Oryzias latipes: one gene and its partners. The protein of the gene in region 4 interacts with the protein of the main gene of each other region in a biochemical or structural test. Links are inferred from orthologs where the notes say so. Each region holds a gene or a part of one and is shown on either strand. Other genes may lie near its edges. The genes, in order: transducin-like enhancer protein 1, microphthalmia-associated transcription factor, nlk and lef1.

Region 1 (4,971 bases), on a different chromosome or scaffold from region 4:
ATGGGACTTCAAGTGATCTCTTCCTATAAAAATCCATTGTAAATGCGCGTTTTTTGTTTCCACGTAAAAAAAACTCATGTTCATGTTTTCAGGCCCCATGTACAAAACGTGTCGCCAAGCTAGAAAATCAAACCAGGTCAAACCAATCAGCACATCTGATTTGGTAGGAACGTATGGATGGTGTTCCTTTTACATTCAAGTGCCATTTGAAAATCGATCACGAGGAGATATTAATAATTGCATTTTGTTCCCGGCCGGAATGATACGACACCAAGTCTTTCATATATCGGAATAAAGCTGTGAAAGAAAAAGTCTGTGAGATTTCCACTTTGACATTTCACACCTAACCTCTTCCAATGATAGTTTGAAGACTTGTGCTAGTAAACGGTAGGAAAAGAACAAGAATAAGCAGCCCATCCCTGCTAAATGCATGTTCAAGAATGCACATTACATTCCCGGTGTGAACGTAGAATTTGGGAGAACTGAACTCCTTAAATTCTTTCATGCTGTTGTGTAGGACAAGGGACAACATTCAGACTAATTAGGAGTTGGCATGGACTTTGCCTTTAGCCTAACACTTCTCATTAGGATGAAAATGCTGGAAACAAGCATCTCTCTGTCTTGAACACATTGCAATGTACAGATGTGTATTAATAAAGTAAGAAATTACCATTTCAGTTGATTCCAAGCTCAACGTGAATTTGACTTTGCATTTCTTTTGCATAGTTGGTAAACAACCTCACAGTGATGAAGACAGTCTGCCTTTTGTTTCTTTTGACGGTTCTTTATCTTCATAACTGTTGTTTTTTTTTCTCTTTTTGCCACTGGAAAAGCTACAAATCAAAATGATGGCCACATTAAGCATTTTTTAAAGAGTATTTCATTCTATAGTTCTTACTCAATTAATTTTTAATAGCTGTTGTTGTACTATGTTGCATGGATACAGACAAAATATTTTAAACAAACGTATTCATAAACTATGCCTTTTTTTCTTCAGAACCGGGATAACTACATCCGCTCGTGTCGTCTCCTCCCCGATGGTCGAACGCTTATCGTAGGTGGTGAGGCCAGCACGTTGTCAATCTGGGATTTGGCCACACCCACTCCTAGAATTAAAGCAGAGTTGACGTCATCGGCACCAGCCTGCTACGCTCTGGCCATCAGTCCAGACTCAAAGGTCTGCTTCTCCTGCTGCAGCGATGGAAACATCGCAGTCTGGGATCTACACAATCAGACCCTTGTCAGGTAAAAATAGATTTTATTGCCCAGAGCTTCTGTTTTTTAGTGTTAATGTCATTTGTAACTTATGCCTGGTATGGATAGTTATGTAGAGGTTATCTACAACCACTCGGTTTATTTTCTTTTCAAAACAGATGCTACTCATTGTTGTATCGATAGCTTTAAATATGACTCACATTTGCTTCGGCCTGAACTTGATTAAGCTAAAGCTGAAGCCATTTATCTATGTATTCAAACAATGCTTTCTAAATGGAACTTGCATGTGTGTCCCTCAGGCAATTCCAGGGCCACACCGATGGGGCCAGCTGTATTGACATCTCCAACGATGGCACCAAATTGTGGACAGGAGGCCTGGATAACACTGTCCGCTCCTGGGACCTGAGGGAGGGACGGCAGCTGCAGCAGCACGACTTCACCTCACAGGTATTTGAGTTTTTTCCCCCCATTTGTTCTGTGTTAAAAGTCAGGGCGTAAATTACGAATCAAAACTTTAATCCTAATTCCTCTCCTTTGTCCAGATCTTTTCTCTGGGCTACTGTCCCACAGGAGAATGGCTTGCTGTTGGGATGGAGAGCAGCAATGTGGAGGTCCTTCATGTCACCAAGCCTGATAAATATCAGCTTCACCTACATGAGAGCTGTGTTCTTTCTCTACAGTTTGCATACTGTGGTAAGCAGCCCAGTGTCTCACTGTTTGTGCAAACAATTTAGACTTCTTCAAAACAAACGTATCCTAAAATTTTATGTCTGGATAAAGAAACTGTAGTGATTGAATTTTTCCTCACGATACAAAACATTTTTATTTACCGGTACTGTAAAGTTTTTTTCCTGATGAAAATGTCATTTTCTCTTTTCTTTTTCTCCTGTTGTGTGTTTGTGTTTCACTAGGCAAATGGTTTGTGAGCACCGGAAAGGACAACTTATTGAACGCATGGAGAACACCCTATGGAGCCAGCATATTCCAGGTTGGGAAAACGGATTTGTTCATTCAATCAAATGTCTTTTAAATTATTTAACAAATGAAACCAGGGTTGAGCATTAATGCAATTAATTTAATCATTTCACAATTTATTTTACCAATTTATTTGACAAAGAAAAATAGTTTTTACACAACTGATTAAAACTAAACAAAGACAACATTTTCTAAAAATAAAAATAAATTCTTATCTTTAAACACTAAATAAAAGATGGAAGAAGAAAAAAACATAGATGAATTAATTAACTGAATCAATATTGCTTGTTTTTAATCAATTGATTAATTTAAACTCAATTTAAACCCCTAATTTTTCTGCATTTTCACAAATGCAGTTTCTTTCAAGCATTGGTTCATAAAAATAAGAGTTTTCTGAATAATGTCTTTGACTCCTGTGCATTTGTTGGTTTAAAAGTAGCTCATTTAGTTTGATTCCGGTGCATAAGCATCACTTAAAGGTTAATCCTGTTTAGCTTTTTTATTTCTTAAGAAACGTCATCATTTATATGAATAATACTTTTTACAAAGTACATAGTGTTGATATGTAAATATCACTTTACATAACGACAAATACTTTTTATTTCGGATGTAATTAAAAACTTTTGTGTTTGGTAATAATGGGATTCTCTCTTTTCTTGTTTCTTTTCTCAGTCTAAAGAATCCTCTTCAGTGTTGAGCTGTGACATATCTGTGGATGACAAATACATCGTCACTGGGTCAGGTGATAAGAAGGCCACTGTTTATGAAGTCATCTACTGAAACCCTTGGAAAAAAGCAGCAATGCTTTCCATTTACTACAAATGTTTCCATGGAACTCTTCTCGTGGAGCGAGAAATCACAAGAAGAAAGGAACTTTACCAGGACATTTATTTATTGTTTTCTTACGCCTGCTGCAGAGACGCTGAAAGGAGGCTAAATTTAACCTGCAGATATTTATTGTGCCTGTGAACGTGACTCCACATCTGAGGGAAATTATTGGAGCGGACAAAGAAAAACTGTGGATTCTGGATCATCTGCTTCTCGACCAGTTGGGGGTTTAGTGACAAAAAGGCGACTGGATACAGATCTTTGAATGAACTCGAGCCAATATTTGGTTTCTCAGCCAGCGTCAAAGTGGCCAATCTGTAAACATGAGCAAGACTTTATATAAAAAAAAAAAAAAATATAAGGGGTGAAGAACGAATGCAGAAAATATAAAGCTTCACATTCGCTTCCAGAAATAGTCAAGCAGGGACCTACAACTTTTTCCTGTCTTTTCATAATTTTTTTTTTTATACTAACTTCTCTAAAGGGGTGAAAACGAAGAAACAAGCCTAAAATTCTGAAAATTCCCAAATGTGATGGTGGAGGCACAGAAAGGGGAGATTGGTTGTTTAACGGTATTCTTTTATAAAACCTCTGAGTTGAGACACGCTCTTTGTTTCAACTTCAGACTTTGAAAAAGTATTTTGAAGTACAAATAATTGGAAAGTTTTTTTTGTCTTTTCAATGCACACAAATGTCAAAACAGTGCTTAGTTGCATTCAGTTTAGAAAAAGTTATTTTCTTCTAATGAAGTTGAGTTTTTGAGATGTCACTGGTGATTTCAGGCTCTGATGGATGGTCAGCATAAGAATGGGTCATTGGTAGCTTTTATACTGTGATTTTTTTTTTTCTTTATATGACACAGCCTTCACATCAAATCAACAGGTCTTAACCTCATCATCTCCCTGCCTTCATCAGTCCAACACTCGATGTCTTATTGTGTAAATGGTTATTTCCACTTCCTTAACAAGATCCAATTACAAATCTTTTAGCAGTTCATTAGTGCTCGGCTATTGGAAAATAAAACTAAAACCTCCTTTAGCACATTTGAACAGAGACATAAAGAATATTATAAGATCAAGATAAAACTGTTTTAAAAGTATTTTAAAGTTGTGCAGGTAATGTTCTGTCATGTTTTTCTGTCCTTTTTGGTCTGTATATAAAATTGTACATTTTGTTTTCTTACAAGACATGATTTAGAAATAAACAGTTTTTGTATGTCTTTTACATGTAATCAGGAAAAATCAAAGTGGTTTTTATAGCCTCCGTGGTGCAGCAGTGGTGGTTCGATTCCTGCCTCACCCGTCCATGCATTGAAGTGTCATTGGGCAAGACGCTGATCCCCACCTTGCCTCTGGTGGAAGGTTGGCGCCAGTGCTTACCAGTATGTGAATGGGTTTGAGACTGAAGCGCCTTGGGCCTTCGAGGAAGGTAAAAACAAGCGCTATACAAGTATACGCCATCTACCATAAACTGCAAGCGATTCTACAAAGGGCACAAGTCAGAGGGTAAAAAAGCTTCAACTCTCGAGCCCTAAATTCGTTCAGGATGTGAATTTCTATCTATTCCACACAAGTAGAATTAGGGAAAGGCTAGCCAGTTTAGCAAGCGAGATAATCCAACTCTGATAGCTCTGCATGGAAAAAGCTGAGCAATGAAGTTGGCGAAAATAAGTCCCCTAGGGTTTTTAATTCACAGATTCAAGCTAATGAGTTAAAAAAAACTAAAAAATTTTTTACACAATATTTTTCTTTTTATTTGACCAGTCTTTGACCAAACATTTTGCGCTCTAGTGTTAGGACTTTTATTTTGAAATGAGGACATCATGTTGCTGATGGTCAAATTCAAGTTCTCTTGTTTTTTTTCGTTTTTGTTTCAGCTACTTTTTACCACAAATAGTTTGTCAGCTTCATTTCTTTGTTGTCATGTTCTCTACTGCTATCTTATAGCCCCTCA
Region 2 (4,991 bases), on a different chromosome or scaffold from region 4:
TTTTTTCTGCCTTTATTATGTTTTTTTCTTTGCTTAAACAAACATTTGTTTGTTTAAATTCTTCAACCTGGTCATGAATTTTTACAATCATGCCACCCAAGACTCTGTTTCTTAGTTTTCAAGGCTTCACCTCTCAGCAGAAGCAAACTTTCATTTGACATGTCAAAAAAAAAAAAAAACTCAAACTGGTTCAGCAGGAAAAGGAGAATGCAAATAATCCACTTTTGTCTCAGCTGGTTGACGTTGACTTTGACTTTAAAACTCTACTGCCCCTTAGTGGTAAATAGGAGCCAAAGCCTGCAGTTGAAAAACAGCTGGCAAGAACTGGAGTTAAAAAAAAGTGATATGTATTTGTCTTAAAAGGCCAAGGGACGATAACAAAATACTAATACTACTGCTACTAATAATAAAGGATTTTAAAAGGAAAAAGAGTTGATTATGTTTTCAAATCTCTGCCTGGGTGATTGCATAAATAAACTGATGATTAATTGTTTTAATGAAAATATATCTTTAAAAAAAAGACATAATATATATATATATATATATATATATATATATATATATATATATATATATATATATATATATATATATATATATATATATATATATATATATATATATATATATAATTTTTTTTCTGTGATTTTTTTAAACAAAAGGTCTTGACCAAAATAGTTGATACTTTTTATCACGTCATTTTTATTTCTACACACTCTACGTCTTAATTGTAACAACTGACCTCTACAAATTAAAAGTTCATTTTCAGAGTCAAACAGACTTTGACAGTTTAATTTTCAACAGGCACATTCAACAGGCTGTAAAAAGCCAATATAATGCATCACTGGGATATATATCTCAATCAATATTTAGCATACGATGTAAACATTATTGCAGAATATTAATATTTATAATTATTTATAATTATTATTATTATTATTATTATTATTTATAATTAGACGGCTCATGTTGCCTGTGTTAGCGACAAAGTCAGAGAAGCCAGACTGAGATGGTTTGGACATATTCAGAGGAGGGATAGTGGATATATTGGTAGAAGGATGTTGGAGATGGAGCTGCCTGGCAGGAGGGCAAGAGGACGGCCAAAGAGGAGATATATGGATGTCTTAACAGAGGACATGAAGTTGGCTAATGTTAGGGTAGAAGATGTCCATGATAGAGTGAGGTGGAAAAGGATGATTCGCTGTGGCGACCCCTGATGGGAAAAGCCGAATGAGAAAGAAGAAGATTAATATTTTAGTCTAAAGAAAATTATAGCCAGCCTATTGTATTTTCTATTTCTTTTGATTCACAACTATTTGGATAGAGAAATACTTGATACACTTTAAGCCTAATTTTCTTTACATATGTCCTCCATCATCAGATAAATGCTTGAAAAACATGTTAAAAACACAAAAAACGCGATTTCGATCGGAGTGGGTCTCTAAAGGTGTTTATGGGACAGAAATCACCTGCTCAGTGAGCAGGTAAAGCGTCTGAAACCCCGTCGCACCTCGCAGCCAATCAAAGCTAACGCGACATTGACAGCCTTTTGATGCATTGTGGGACTTGTAGTTAGGTCGTATGCCACAGCGCGTTAGCGGGGCTGTTATCACAGCTGGAATAGACTACAGAGGTTCGTGTCCCGGGCAGAGGCGGCTTGCGTTGACAGTTGGTTGGTCCTCGAAGAAGCGCAGCGGCTCCAACATCGCCCCGCAGTTTTGTTTTGTTTTACTTGTTTGTGGGTTTTTTTTACGTTCTGGAAAAGTTGACGTCTGCAAGTATGCAGTCCGAATCCGGAATAGTTCCTGACTTTGAGGTCGGCGAGGACCTTCAGGACGAGCCTAAAACGTACTATGAGCTGAAGAGTCAACCTTTGAAAAACAGGTCAGTCCATTTCCCGTGGACAGTTATTTCCCACTCTGAAGCGGTTTTCAGGTTTGGGTGATAATTAGCCTCCGAGCTGTCTACTGAGCGTCGCGCGGAGGCCGAGCGCGCGCGAGGCTGTCCCGGCGGGGGGGGGGGATGTGTTGCCCAGCTGTGGAGTGGGATTCGGCTGCCTCTCATTCAAAGTTATGCAACACTTGGGTGTTGTCTTGTCAACATCAACTTCAAATATTGGCTCGTGGAGGAGCAGACAGGTCAGAGTTGAGTGAGATGCTGCTCACGCCAGGGACTCCTAACACAATTGATGCTACTTTATTTTTTATATTTCTGTCAAGAATGACTCCAAATGGACCTCAAACAATGTTAGTCAAACCCATTTATTTCATTATTATTTTAGTAAAATATCGATGCTTCATGAGATTTCCCCTTCAAAATAAAAGCACATTCAGAGGCTGCTGGAGGGGTGTAAAAGGTGACCAGTTGTCATAATAGTTGTCCAACCCGATGACCCTGATGTCTAATGTTGCAAGAGTAATTTTGGGGACTATCCGAACTGTGTACAAGTTGCTGAGTCAGCTTTAAGTGGCCCAAATCTGCCTTTCCGCCTTTTTTCAGGAACTTCTGCAGAGCCAGCATGCAATATAGGTTATTTTATTAGATCAGCTGTTAGGATGGAACACTCTAAGAATAGGAGTCAATTATGAATCTGATATATAAAATTGTGTAATTAGATTGAACAAACCATTGTTTCCTATTCGTGGCAAGCCTAAAGTGTAATTTTTAGGAAAGATGATGACTTGGAGTGACGGATTCGTGGATTCGTCAGATATGTGCTAAAGATGGATGAGCAGCGGCATCCTCACTTTTGATGCAACAACATGACTTCTCTCTGGGTGACATGTGAGCAAAACGAAACACCTCAGACTCTTCCTTCAACTTAGGAGCTGCAAAGCTGCTAATGATGACATGCGTCAACAAACTGCGATCCCATTCTCTCCGTCTCCTGTCGTCACCTTAGAGTTTGATTCCCTCAAGGCTGTCCTTGCTGCTGCCAGATCTAGACAGCCACAAGACAGAGCGCCACTGTTCTCAAACAAAGCAGTTTTTTTTCCTGTTGCCCTCCCTCCCTTCTGTTTCTCCGTATTTTGCTGTGGAGTTGCAGCTTTTCTCCTCTTTATTTCTTTCTTTAAGTCGACCAAAAACATAAGCTAAGAGAAAATCGCATAAATCTCATGAAACTATAACCTTTAGCCCAGTTTTTCCTTTTCTTTTTCCAAGTAATGTCAATTTCGTCATTAGTGAAATGTCATTACATTGTTACACGTACATAGACCAAGTCGGAGATGCCGCAAGAGTAAATATAACCCCTGAAATATCAACACAGTTGGCTAGTATGACAGAACATAGTTGAGAACATGTGGGATTTTTCTAAGCCTTTTGCTTTTATTGTTTTTTTTTTTTTAAATGTCCCACTTCCCCTTTCCATCACATGAGCATGATCTATCATAACAATGACTGTGTTGGGAGCCGTTATGACACTAAAGATTGATTATTTGGCGTTGCCCAAAAGTCAGGTAAGAGCTGCTTCGTCCCAGCTGCTTCGGAAGGAGAAATGTTGACAGTGACACAGTATCACCTCCGTTTCACGGATAGGTTTGCTTCCCTGCTGTCCCCAATCAGGCCGACAGAGCGAGCTGCTGCAGACGCTGTCCTGGACTTTCAGTGCCTATATTTAGATGTGAGGCAGACGCTGAACTAGTCTTATATGCAGTGTAAATAAGCTGTATAAATTTAGCCGTAGAAGTGTTAAATCTGAAATAAGTGGGGTTTTTTTGTGTGTGTATGTGCGTTCTCAAGCAAACTCTCGAAGCTAAACTTTTACATTGTTAAGCCCGTTTACATCCATTTAATATATTGGATTTCTTGAATTATGCGATTTTTCAAGTGACCGTGCAAACAGGAGAGTCTGATATCCTTTATCTGATAGTACCGAGATAAAATCGCATTAAGATTTCTAAGATTCCGTATTCCTCTCCACAAGCTAATGCAACCACCAGTTTGCCTAAAACAGGCTGACAGTAGGGCTTGAAAGTGACAGGATTGCATATTCTCATCCTCCAATCATCTTTTGAGTTATTTTACAAGCATTCCCAACAAGCCCTTGTTTAAATATGATTATACCATAGTCCGAGTGAATACTCGATTCTGATTGGCCATTCATCAAAAATTCTGAGTTGTGGGCAAGGCTGTTGGGACAGTAAAACCCGCCCCTTTCCCCCATCTTCATCGCTAAGACCTCAGAGCAGGGAGCTTGTGGCCCACCAAGCTTATTCTCTTCATCACAAATACATTGTTTTTCAAAAGGCATTTTGTTTGTTTGCTCTTGATTCACAACAATTTCAATGAAGACATTCCTCATAAATGCAATTTTAAGCTAAATTTACTAAATAAATGTCTTCCATCATCAGAAAAATGCCACAAGAACACGTTAAAAACACATTTCATTTTCATTGGAGTGGGTCTTTACAATGCATTGCAGCTAGTGCTGTGGAGTCCATTTACATGCCCACAAAAAAATCCGGTCATATCTGATATTAGACTATTCAAAGGGTCATGTTAGCAGCACCATCTGATTTTTCTTGTCAGATAAGCAGCTAGGGATGTGATTTCTTCCTGCATGTCTATCTTTTTGTCAGATTTATTTTGTTTTTGTTTTGACATCTATACAATGTGAGAAAAAAAAGGGGGAAAAATATTGGCATAGAGACAGTGTGAGTGCAAAATGAAAAACTTTGGTCACTAGGGCTGCACAATATGAGGAAACTTGCATTGTGCGATATTAGTGATCAATATTGTGATGATGATAACACTTTCGATACGTGAACAAAAATGTCGTAAAACAAACAAAAAAACAACAAAAGAATTATTGACATTTAACTGCAACAGTTTTATTTGAATGAAAGTCAGTATTACTTAAATCATACTCCAAGTGAGGCAGGTATCATTCGATTGGTCGACAACCTGAAGGGCTCTATTTGATTAGCTAAATACTTCAAGGGGCCATAAGGTTGTTTTAGCACATGTCTAAAGATTTAAAGTAACCGTTT
Region 3 (5,046 bases), on a different chromosome or scaffold from region 4:
CACTTTGCAGTCAATAACCTCTCTCAAATGACCTCGTCTACATAGGATGTAGTCCACCTGGGTACTCCTACCTCCACTTCTGTATGTCACTCTATGTTCCTCTCTCTTCTGGAAGTAAGTGTTGACTACAGCCATTTCCATCCTCTTTGCAAAGTCCACCACCATCTGTCCCTCCAGATTCCTTTCCTTCACACCAAACCTGCCCATCACCTCCTCATCACCTCTATTGCCCTCACCAACATGCCCATTAAAGTCTGCTCCAATAACAACTCTCTCTCCTCTGGGGAAACTCTGTATGACCTCATCCAACTCACTCCAGAATCTCTCCTTCACTTCTAGCTCACAGCCAACCTGTGGCGCATACCCACTGACTACATTCACCATCACCCCTTCGATTTCTAACTTTAGGCTCATCATCCTGTCTGAGACTCTTTTCACCTCTAGAACACTGTTTACAAACTCCCCCTTCAGAATCACTCCTACCCCGTTTCTCTTCCTATCAACACCATGATAGAACAGTTTGTATCCTCCTCCAATACTACGTGCCTTGCTGCCCTTCCACCTTGTCTCCTGCACACACAGTACATCTACCTTCCTTCTCTCCATCATGTCTGCCAGCTCTCTGCCTTTCCCTGTCATTGTGCCAACGTTAAGAGTCCCTATTCTCAAACCTATGTTCCTGCCTTTTCCCTTCTCTCTCTGGCCACGGGCCCTTCTGCCTCCCCTCTTTCTTCCACCAACAGTAGTCAAATTTCCACCGACACCCTGTAGGTTAACAGCATCGGTGGCGGTCGTTGTTAACCCGGGCCTCGACCGATCCGGTATGTCTAAAGTGTTGTGGATGATTCGCATGGTTATTTTGGCAATTTTTACGCCGGATGCCCTTCCTGACGCAACCCTCTCTATTTATCCGGGCTTGGGACCGGCACAGAGGCAACTGGCTTGCAACCCCTGTGGCTAGATTTACTTTCTACACCAAATATCTGTAAAGTATTAATGTCAGATTTTTCACAGCTCTGTTTTTTATGGGCATTTAATAGGTTATAAAAGAGTTCAATGAAGATTATTTGATCAAGAAGCCTTCAGTGCATCGCGTCTGTGTTCCTTCTGGTCTCTTGGTCATAAGTAGCGCATGTTCTATCCACCTTCACGATCCCCAACTATCACATCGTTCTGTCTAGTGTGGACAGTTAAAGATTTCTAATGTGCGACATTTATTGTGTAAATGTGAAGCTGTTAAACAACAATGAATACAACAATGAAAATACACAGAACTTAGGATCACCTATAAGGATGTTTTTTTCAGAAACTCCAAATTATTTAACCATAACCTTTGCTTTGGTTTCAAAGAGTGGGCAGCCAGTCAACCTTTCTGAATCAAACACTGACTTGTTCTATTGTATTGACATACAGAACAGTGATTTCTGTCTGGTAGGTGGATGGTGTCATGTTCATTTGGTTTGACTGAAAACAGCCTCCTGTATGGGTGTAGCATACCGGACTGTTTTGGATTAAAACCTGTCAAATTAATGTGATCACTTCCTTTAAAAGCTTAGAGTAGAAAGAGAATCCATTAGAACCTGACTGGAACTTCTGTTCAGGTCAACTTTTCAGTGAAAAGCCTTGGGTTCTGGACAGGTTTGTCCAGGAGAGGTTCACTCAGTGGTCCCGTCTCTGGACGGGTTTGTCCCGGACCAACAGGAGGCGGGGTGATGATGATCCACCGGCCTGCAGGAAACTGTCTCCATCAGCACAAAGATAAATATTCAAGCGGGGGGAAGGGGGGCATCAGCGGGCGCCCCCAGCGCCGCTCAGCCTTGCTGTCACCCCAGCTGGAGGGCCGCCATTGGCTGAGCTGCCTGTCAATCGGGGAGATTTCGTCTGCGTCACTGCCGCGCGGCCTGTGATTGGCTGCTCGCTGGGTCTCATCTCACCGCCGATTAGCGCAGATTGTGTTCACCATGTTGGATCGAGCGCTGCCTCTGGATTCCTGGTAATCGATCAGCAGAAAGCAGCTCCACCGGTCCGGACCGCGGAGGTTCGGCTGTGGAGTTTCGGGTCCGTGTCGGTGCGACAGCGGCGGTTCCCCCTCGAGCTGGGTTCGTGATGCGGCGCGCGGCTCGAGCTGCTGCTAGCTCCGGGCTGTCAGGCTGAGCGGCGCGCGGCGCGGAGCTGGGTCATCCCGCGTTCACACGCACCGAACTGCTCGGGTCACGTGTCCCGCTGCATGAGCACCTGTGGGCCACCGACCCGAAGCGGGCGGACGGACCGAACTTGAGAAACCGACTTCAAGGCTTTGCCAACCCCAGTCATGCTCGCGGCCCCGTCCCCGCTCCGAACCTCCGTGGACCTGCGCCGCTCCGTGTGACTGAGTGGAACGGATGGGGGCGGCGTGCTCCCGGGCCGGGAGACACCCTCTCTGCACCGGACCCCCAGCTCGGAGTTCACCTCCGACCGCGAAGTAGCTTCCTGCGCGCTCAGAGCAGAAAAGTCCGTTCGGAACAGCGCCGAACATTTCTGAACCGCCAGAGCTGCTCGGTGGGAGGACTTCCGGTGCTGATCCAGAGCGCGTGGACGCTGGACCGCGATGCGGGAGATGAAGCTGCGGCTGCGCGGCATGTGATGTAACCAAGGCCGCTGCTGTCAGGACGAGGCCGCCTCATGAGGGCCGTCACGGGCCGCCAGCTGTCTTCCTGGACCGGGGTTCGGGTTCTGTTACTCTGAATCCCTGAGAACTCTAGAGCGTGGAAGTGGGTCGTTGACACGATGCTCCACAGACTTCCCCTCCTCTGTCATTGAAGCGGGTCGTCTCATGTTGGATCCTCAGCGGTTCTGGTTCTGTTCTGGCTGAGTGTCTGCTGACCTTCCTCGTCTCCTCAGGAGGTGGATGGCTCTGTGTGGCACCACCGCCGCCAATGCTCCAAAAATGATGGCAGCTTACCCCGGCGGCTCCTCGGCAGTGGCTGCTGCCCATCACCACCACCAGCAGCTCCAGCACCTCCCGCCGCCCCACATGCACCACCACCACCACCACCACCACCACGCGGGCCAGCACCACCTGCAGCACCCAGGCTCCGCTGCGGCCGTGCACACGGTCCAGCAGCACACGACCGCAGCGGCGGCGGCGGCGGTGATGCTCAACCCCGGCCAGCAGCAGCCGTACTTCCCCTCTCCCGCCCCCGGACAAGCCCCTGGGCCGGCAGCCGCCGCCGCTCCTGCCCAGGTTCAGGCTGCTGCTGGTGTCAAAGCCCACCACCAGCACCAGCAGAACTCTCATCACCTCCAACAGCAGCTGGACATTGAACCGGACCGGCCCATTGGCTATGGAGCATTTGGGGTTGTCTGGTAAGTGTCCACAGGCCTGTCATCACTCCCCCAGGTTCTTGAAACGGGTGTTGGACCTGAGTTCCTGCTGGTTTTGGCTTTTGGTTTTGGTTCATGCTCTGGACTCACCAAGTTGTTCTGATGAGGTGTCAGGCACTTTGGACCTCTGATAGAATAAACAAACAAATGCTACCTTTCTGAAAATCCATCAGGTGCTAGCTAGCACATTGACTTAGTCTGAGGCTGGAGCCAGAAAGTTTTCATCAAATATTGAGAGATGAACTAAAAGGTAGAAGTGAGAGGGAAAAAAGAGGGAGGTAATGGTGGGGAGCACTGACAGCAGGAAGAGGATAAAGCCATGGCACAAAACCAACCCGGGTTCTCTGAGGGGTACCCTGACCATTCCTCTGTTTCTGGAAACAGAACGTTTTTTAGCTCTGTGTTTACATGGAGCGTATGCATGCGTGCGTGTGTGTGTGTGTGTGCATGCGTGTGTGCGTGTAGCGGTGGGTAACTGGTGGAGGGTACAACAACAAAGGAAAAACAGACTTTACAGGAAAGCAAAACAAGCGGGTCTTCCCCCATTTGCCTCCTGTAGCCAGAATCGGCATACTTTCAGCGAGGCACGGAGGTAGTGGAATGATAATGTGTCATCTGTAAACAAAAGTAATATATATTTAGATGTTTAAGCCTGCAACTTTGAGTCCTACACCGTTTACAGACAAAACTTCATTGTTGTGGACTCAGACTGCTCACATAGTTTCATAAATGACCATTGAGTTAACCCTTTAACTCTGGAGATGTCGCCGTTGACACCGAAGTAAACCACGCTTTTTGGCGTCCCGCAACTGTTGGACCATTTTCTCAATCAATGTGAATCATCTGACGCTGATACGGAGACAAGCAGCTTCTCGTATCGGTTTTGTGCTGCTATGCAACACTTACTGAAAGCATATTGTTGCTCAAAGGTGCAAAGTCACTTTTCTTGGAAATGTAATGAGCTGACTGATGTTGTTTTGTGAAAGCACTTCACTGCTAAAATGTATTGCAAATCAGCCCGTGGCGGCTTTTCTCTGCTGAAGAATCCCTGGAAGGACTTTGTGTAAATGGTTGAAGAGTAATCGAAGGAACGTCTACGGTAAGATAAAGTTCCTGTGTTAAAGGGTTAAAAACACAACATGGAAACAAACATGTTGAACATTTCCATAAATGCACATATCTAAATATGGCAGATTTTGAGATTCGAAGGAACAATAGAACAAATCTATAGTTCCCAAACCATCCACCCAACAAAGACTTGTATACAGGTTTGACATTGCTGGTTAATGCATACACAGATCCCTGTTCTGAAGTGGGGACCTGTACAGTATGGGCCCTGCTGTCACCCTGTAACAGCTGGGATTGGCTCCAGCGCCCCCATGGCCCTGCACAGGAAGAGAAGCTGTCGTCAACAATGACGGTGTTGAGCCCATTTGTTTCTCGTCATCCTGATTTAGTTGCATGACGTGACACTATGATGGTAGAGATGGCTTTGGTAATTCTACAAAACATCGAGGATTAGCTTTTAACTTTAACTTTATTTAACAACAAACCATCAGAACATAGGAGAAAAATACTTCTGGGATCATTTAAAGTTTCCTTGTTTGATTGGTTAGTTTATATTTAGACATATTCTATAATCCCCAAAACTCGTCTGTGTCTGACTGAAATGACAGGAAGTGT
Region 4 (4,490 bases):
CCTATGACAGAATTTCTGCAGCGCAGCAATTGTTCACTAGAAATTTGCCTCCGAGTTGTGGGCGGGACCGTTATTGTGGAGCAACTGCAACAACCTAACAACCTAACATTACCGGTGCAACAAAAATGCAGAGCAATATTGCAGCTAATCAGTGGAGGAGAATGAAGACGTTCACGGATCTAGTCGTCTGCAAGTGGATGCATGGGAATGGAGCAGAGCAGGGACCATGTGGCCTGACGATTGGAGTTTGTACGCAACAATTACAAGCTTTTATAAAGAGTATCTTTTTTCATCTGCTCCTGATTCACTACGATTTGAATAGAGGAAATGTTCAGAAATGCAATTTTAAGCTTATTTTTCTTTAAACATCAGAAAAATGAGACAATAACATGCTAAAAACACCAAAAATACAACCTTCATCTTAGTGGGTCTTTAAGGTGATATTTGGACTCCAGCTTGCCTCAGGGTTCAAATTTTTAAAGCAGATTTAGTCGTACTAAACACTCCCATGTGTTTCGTCCAGATTAAGCGTGCGAGAGCTGTTGGCTGAGGTTCTGCTGTGCCTGTTTGGGTCGGTTTTAATTGTCAGGAGGTACTGCAAGTTCCCTCTGAGTCATCGCAGGATGAGGAGCCACTGTTGACGTGATTACCCCTACATTAGGCACCACTGCAGACATCTGTCTTACTCACGCATTCTCTCCATAGTGGGGGTGCAACAGATCCCGGATTATCAGTGATACACTAGCCATGGTTCACCCCCACCCTCCTCCTCGTACGCACCTCGCTCATCATTTTTCCCGTGTTTTTTTTTCCCATTTAACTGATCCGAAAAATTATCCGAATCCTGACGCTAAAACCGTGACACGATCCGAACCGTGAGTCGTGTTATCCATTGCACCCCTACTCTATAGTCAACCCCCCGTCCCTTCCTCCTCCTCCTCCTCCATCCCTCATCTCTTCTTCCCCCAGCTCTTGCTCTGTAATGAACTCCCCTTATTCACCGGCTAATGACTGCCTTTGATCTCCCGCCTCAGACCTCTGCTCTAACACTACCTTGCAAGTCTCTCATCTCCCCCCCCCCCTCCACTCTTTGCTCCACTGCTCGCTTGCTTCCCTTCTGTGTGCATCTTTCTTTCTGTTTCTATCAGAACTTGCACACGCTCCCTCTTTGGCTTGTTTTCCCTCTTGTCTTCAGGGAGTGGAATTTTGTAGTCCTGCTGACCTAGGCTAAACAAAGTTCTGAACTGCTGGGCGCACAGAGAAAAAAACAACAACATTTTTTAAAGTGTCTTCTTGAGCAAAGTCTTAAAGCCAGATGGAAATAGTTCACCTGTTCTCTACCATGCATTATATTGGAGTTACACACCGTTCCTAAATCCAGTTGCACTTGTCTCCGCAGTCCAACAAAGTCCCCGTGGTGCAGCCGTCCCATGCAGTCCACCCACTGACCCCGCTGATCACGTACAGCGACGAGCACTTCGCCCCAGGCTCTCATTCGGGCCTCCACCCACAAGATGCCAACAACAAACAAGGTAGGAGAAGCAGGCGTGTTGCACAGTGAGCGGCATGTCCATGGCGTTCGTTTGAAAGCCGCTCATGTTGTGGCAGAGCTATTTACAGATCAATGCAACTTTTTCTGAGCATCGTCTCACTATATTTAGGTGTAAGTGCTGTCATGTGGCCCCCAAAGGGCTTTTACCCAAAAGAAAAACCTGTTTATCTCACTGCCCTGAAGTTTTCTGTGTCTGAAATAAAGCACGAGATGCAGGATTTTGTCAAACTAGATCTACATGTGACTGAGCTGATACCTGGTGTGTGTGTTTTTTTATTTAACTACAACTGTCAACTCTGTCAAGAATCAGAGATGCTCCTGCTAAAAATATGTCAAAACAAAGTCATCCTCCTAACATCTCTGAGTGAGAATTCATTTGAAGCAGCCTGTGGGATGGCACGCTGAGCTCTGATGCCCTCTCCCTCTGCACTCTTTGCCTCTTGGGAACAACTTCAAGCTGTAGCTCTGACAGCTGCGGAGAAGCTCCTCTGCTGTTTGGACGGGCTCTTCAGCCCCGCGCAGCTGGAAACTTTGGCAGCTCCTTCGCTTGATGCCACAGAGACGCGGGCCAAACATAGTTTTGTCCTGCACCGTTTTCGCTTTTCTTTGCTTTCTTCTTCTGTGGCTGCCAGTTGAAAAGGAGGGGGATGATGTAGGCGATGAAGACGAGGAGTTCTGAGGGACCAACTATAAATAAGGATGTAAGCACAAGGGATGCAGCCCTGTGAGATTTAAGCTCCACATATGTCATACATCTGACACACGTGCTGGGATATTTTTACCTTCCAACTACATAGTAAAAAAGAACAAACAGGTAACAAAGCAAGAGGTGCACTCGCTGGGTTTGAGGAGTTCTTGTCACGTAGAATTCAGCGGCAGTTTCTTTTCATTTTCCTATTCGCCCTGTTTCTGACAGCGAAGAGTGGAAAGAAGCACCTGGGGGGCCTTTTCCTTAGCATTTGATCTTGGCATTCAGAGCCTAACAGAAATCCATGTCCAAGCAATCCAGTTGCAAAATTAGCTGCAAATGATTTCCCTAGGCATATTCATGTATGGGTAGAGCTGGGCCGAACACGCTGAAAACCAAATCTCCCCTCATTCTCCTCGTTTGCTGTCCCTCTAGTTCTTTCTCTCATATCGACCAATTGCTGCTCTGCTTCCTTTAGCGGGCTCTGACTTTGATCCGCTCGTTAATTATGAAAAACAATCATGGATTTTCTCATTATGGGCTCTAAAATGCAGAGGGCCTCTATGTGGGCTGGAAGGTCGCACCGAGGGAGGGGGTGGAGGAGAATTGTTGCTAATTTCTGCGTGTATAAAGGCAAATCTAACATTCAGAGTTTAAATATGAGCGCCAGCTGTATCCAGCTAGTGTGTGTCTTGTTTTGGCTTCGTTGGACGCCAACGGGAATGTGTAAAATGAGGAGCGAGCGGGTGTAATTAGGCATCATAGAGGTGTGAGTGACAAGGTTAACACGCTGGGGCTCTCTCTTCCTCCCCTGCTGCTTCACCTCTCGCCTCCTTCCTTTCTCCCTTTGGGAGGGCCCTAAAGGAGTGTTAGGCGGTGGATTAGTGAGGAGGAAGCAGGACTATCCGCGCCATGAATCCAGCGTCGCAACATTGGCTTTGGGGATATAAGCCTCCCTCTCAAGCTGCCTCTCCAAGGAGGGATGCCCCTTCAGATCCCAGCCTGGGGAGAGAAGGAGGAGGACCAGAGATGAGAGAAGCAGGGGAGGAAAGGCGGGCTCCAGCGGGGTTTGGAAGATGGTGCTAATCTGGACGCATGTGCCCTTTCCTTTTTTTGGTGTGTTTTTGGGTTGCGAGGAGCTGCATTCCACTTGTCTGTGCATGAACAGCATTTCCTGATGTCTGCTTGACCTGCCGGGAAAGACCAGGAAACAAATTGATTTAGGAGAAGAAGGGATTTTCAAGTCAGACAGATTTTTGTCATCCTGCAGCTCCGTTTTCACTGCCTTCTGTTTGGAAAATAGACCTCCTGACCTTGAAGCCCAGAAGGAGGTGGAGAAAGGAGAGGTTAGTCCAAACAGTCAGTCTGAGCCGATCCCGTGCCTACAGGGAGCACGGCTGCCTCCACCGTTAAGAAGAAGCTGCAATTATGCAGCTTAAAGATGCTGAAACACACTAACAGGAACATAGCTCAAAGAACAAATGATTCTCCTTTTCTCCTTGTTAAATATTGAGGTCAGAGTTGGTCTTTTTGAACAATCACAAATCTTACAACTGTAGAGGACTATGCTTCTTCAAACCAAGGAAACACTCCCATCCAAGTTTTTTAGGATGAGTTTGTCCTGTTGATGTCATTTTGGCTTTATTTCTTCTGTTCGTGAAACTATTTCCTTGTCCTTTTTTCCTCTTTGTCATTGGCTGCTAGCTTGTGTTTGCACTTGTGTCATTAACCAGTTGTGAACCACCAGCGACAAACAGCTAGAGATGTAAAGGATGCAGAAACGTATGAAAAAAAAATGGATTCAGTACTGAGAGTAACGGCAGTATCCGTTAAAAATACAGTTACAAACAAGATTATGGTACTTTATCAGTTTCTCTTCCTGTTGTGTCCTCTGCTTTCTTTGCTTTTTTATGTACATTTGATCCAAGCAAATATCAAAATGATCTAAAAGACCCAAAAATGCCAAGTTTATACGTTTAAAGCTGTTTCATGTATAATTTTAAATGACAGATGAATAATACATATTTAGATTGTAACCATAGGTATGAGAGTTGCACTGTTATGTATTGCCACAAAGGTAATTGAATCTTTTATGTATTGAGATGCATATCCATCGTGTGAGAGGGAAAGCTACACAACCATAATGAAAACCCATTCTATTTATGACTAACACCTACTCTGCTATGATATGGATCAAGAAGGTTGTCGGAGCATATCCCAGCTGTCTTTGAGCAAAGGGAGTCTTGTGAC

Evidence for each region.
Region 1: the proteins of lef1 (region 4) and transducin-like enhancer protein 1 form a complex in vitro, tested with the Homo sapiens proteins (2 studies listed by BioGRID and IntAct, with this or other methods). The link is inferred for Oryzias latipes from reciprocal best matches to the Homo sapiens genes LEF1 and TLE1.
Region 2: the proteins of lef1 (region 4) and microphthalmia-associated transcription factor form a complex in vitro, tested with the Homo sapiens proteins (2 studies listed by BioGRID). The link is inferred for Oryzias latipes from reciprocal best matches to the Homo sapiens genes LEF1 and MITF.
Region 3: of the proteins of lef1 (region 4) and nlk, one has a biochemical effect on the other in vitro, tested with the Homo sapiens proteins (4 studies listed by BioGRID). The link is inferred for Oryzias latipes from reciprocal best matches to the Homo sapiens genes LEF1 and NLK.

Annotation. Positions count from the first base shown.
Region 1 is NC_019867.2:10,634,393-10,639,363, forward strand, and holds the end of transducin-like enhancer protein 1, read left to right. Parts: intron 1-997; coding exon 998-1,245; intron 1,246-1,514; coding exon 1,515-1,662; intron 1,663-1,757; coding exon 1,758-1,908; intron 1,909-2,126; coding exon 2,127-2,203; intron 2,204-2,862; coding exon 2,863-2,970; 3' UTR 2,971-4,082; downstream 4,083-4,971. UniProt on the Homo sapiens protein: Transcriptional corepressor that binds to a number of transcription factors. Inhibits NF-kappa-B-regulated gene expression. Inhibits the transcriptional activation mediated by FOXA2, and by CTNNB1 and TCF family members in Wnt signaling.
Region 2 is NC_019865.2:20,303,465-20,308,455, reverse strand, and holds the start of microphthalmia-associated transcription factor, read left to right. Parts: upstream 1-1,627; 5' UTR 1,628-1,780; coding exon 1,781-1,884; intron 1,885-4,991. UniProt on the Homo sapiens protein: Transcription factor that acts as a master regulator of melanocyte survival and differentiation as well as melanosome biogenesis.
Region 3 is NC_019871.2:30,640,286-30,645,331, reverse strand, and holds the start of nlk (serine/threonine-protein kinase NLK), read left to right. Parts: upstream 1-1,948; 5' UTR 1,949-2,887; coding exon 2,888-3,345; intron 3,346-5,046. UniProt on the Homo sapiens protein: Serine/threonine-protein kinase that regulates a number of transcription factors with key roles in cell fate determination. Positive effector of the non-canonical Wnt signaling pathway, acting downstream of WNT5A, MAP3K7/TAK1 and HIPK2.
Region 4 is NC_019859.2:16,135,050-16,139,539, reverse strand, and holds part of lef1 (lymphoid enhancer-binding factor 1), read left to right. Parts: intron 1-1,399; coding exon 1,400-1,532; intron 1,533-4,490. UniProt on the Homo sapiens protein: Transcription factor that binds DNA in a sequence-specific manner. Participates in the Wnt signaling pathway. Activates transcription of target genes in the presence of CTNNB1 and EP300.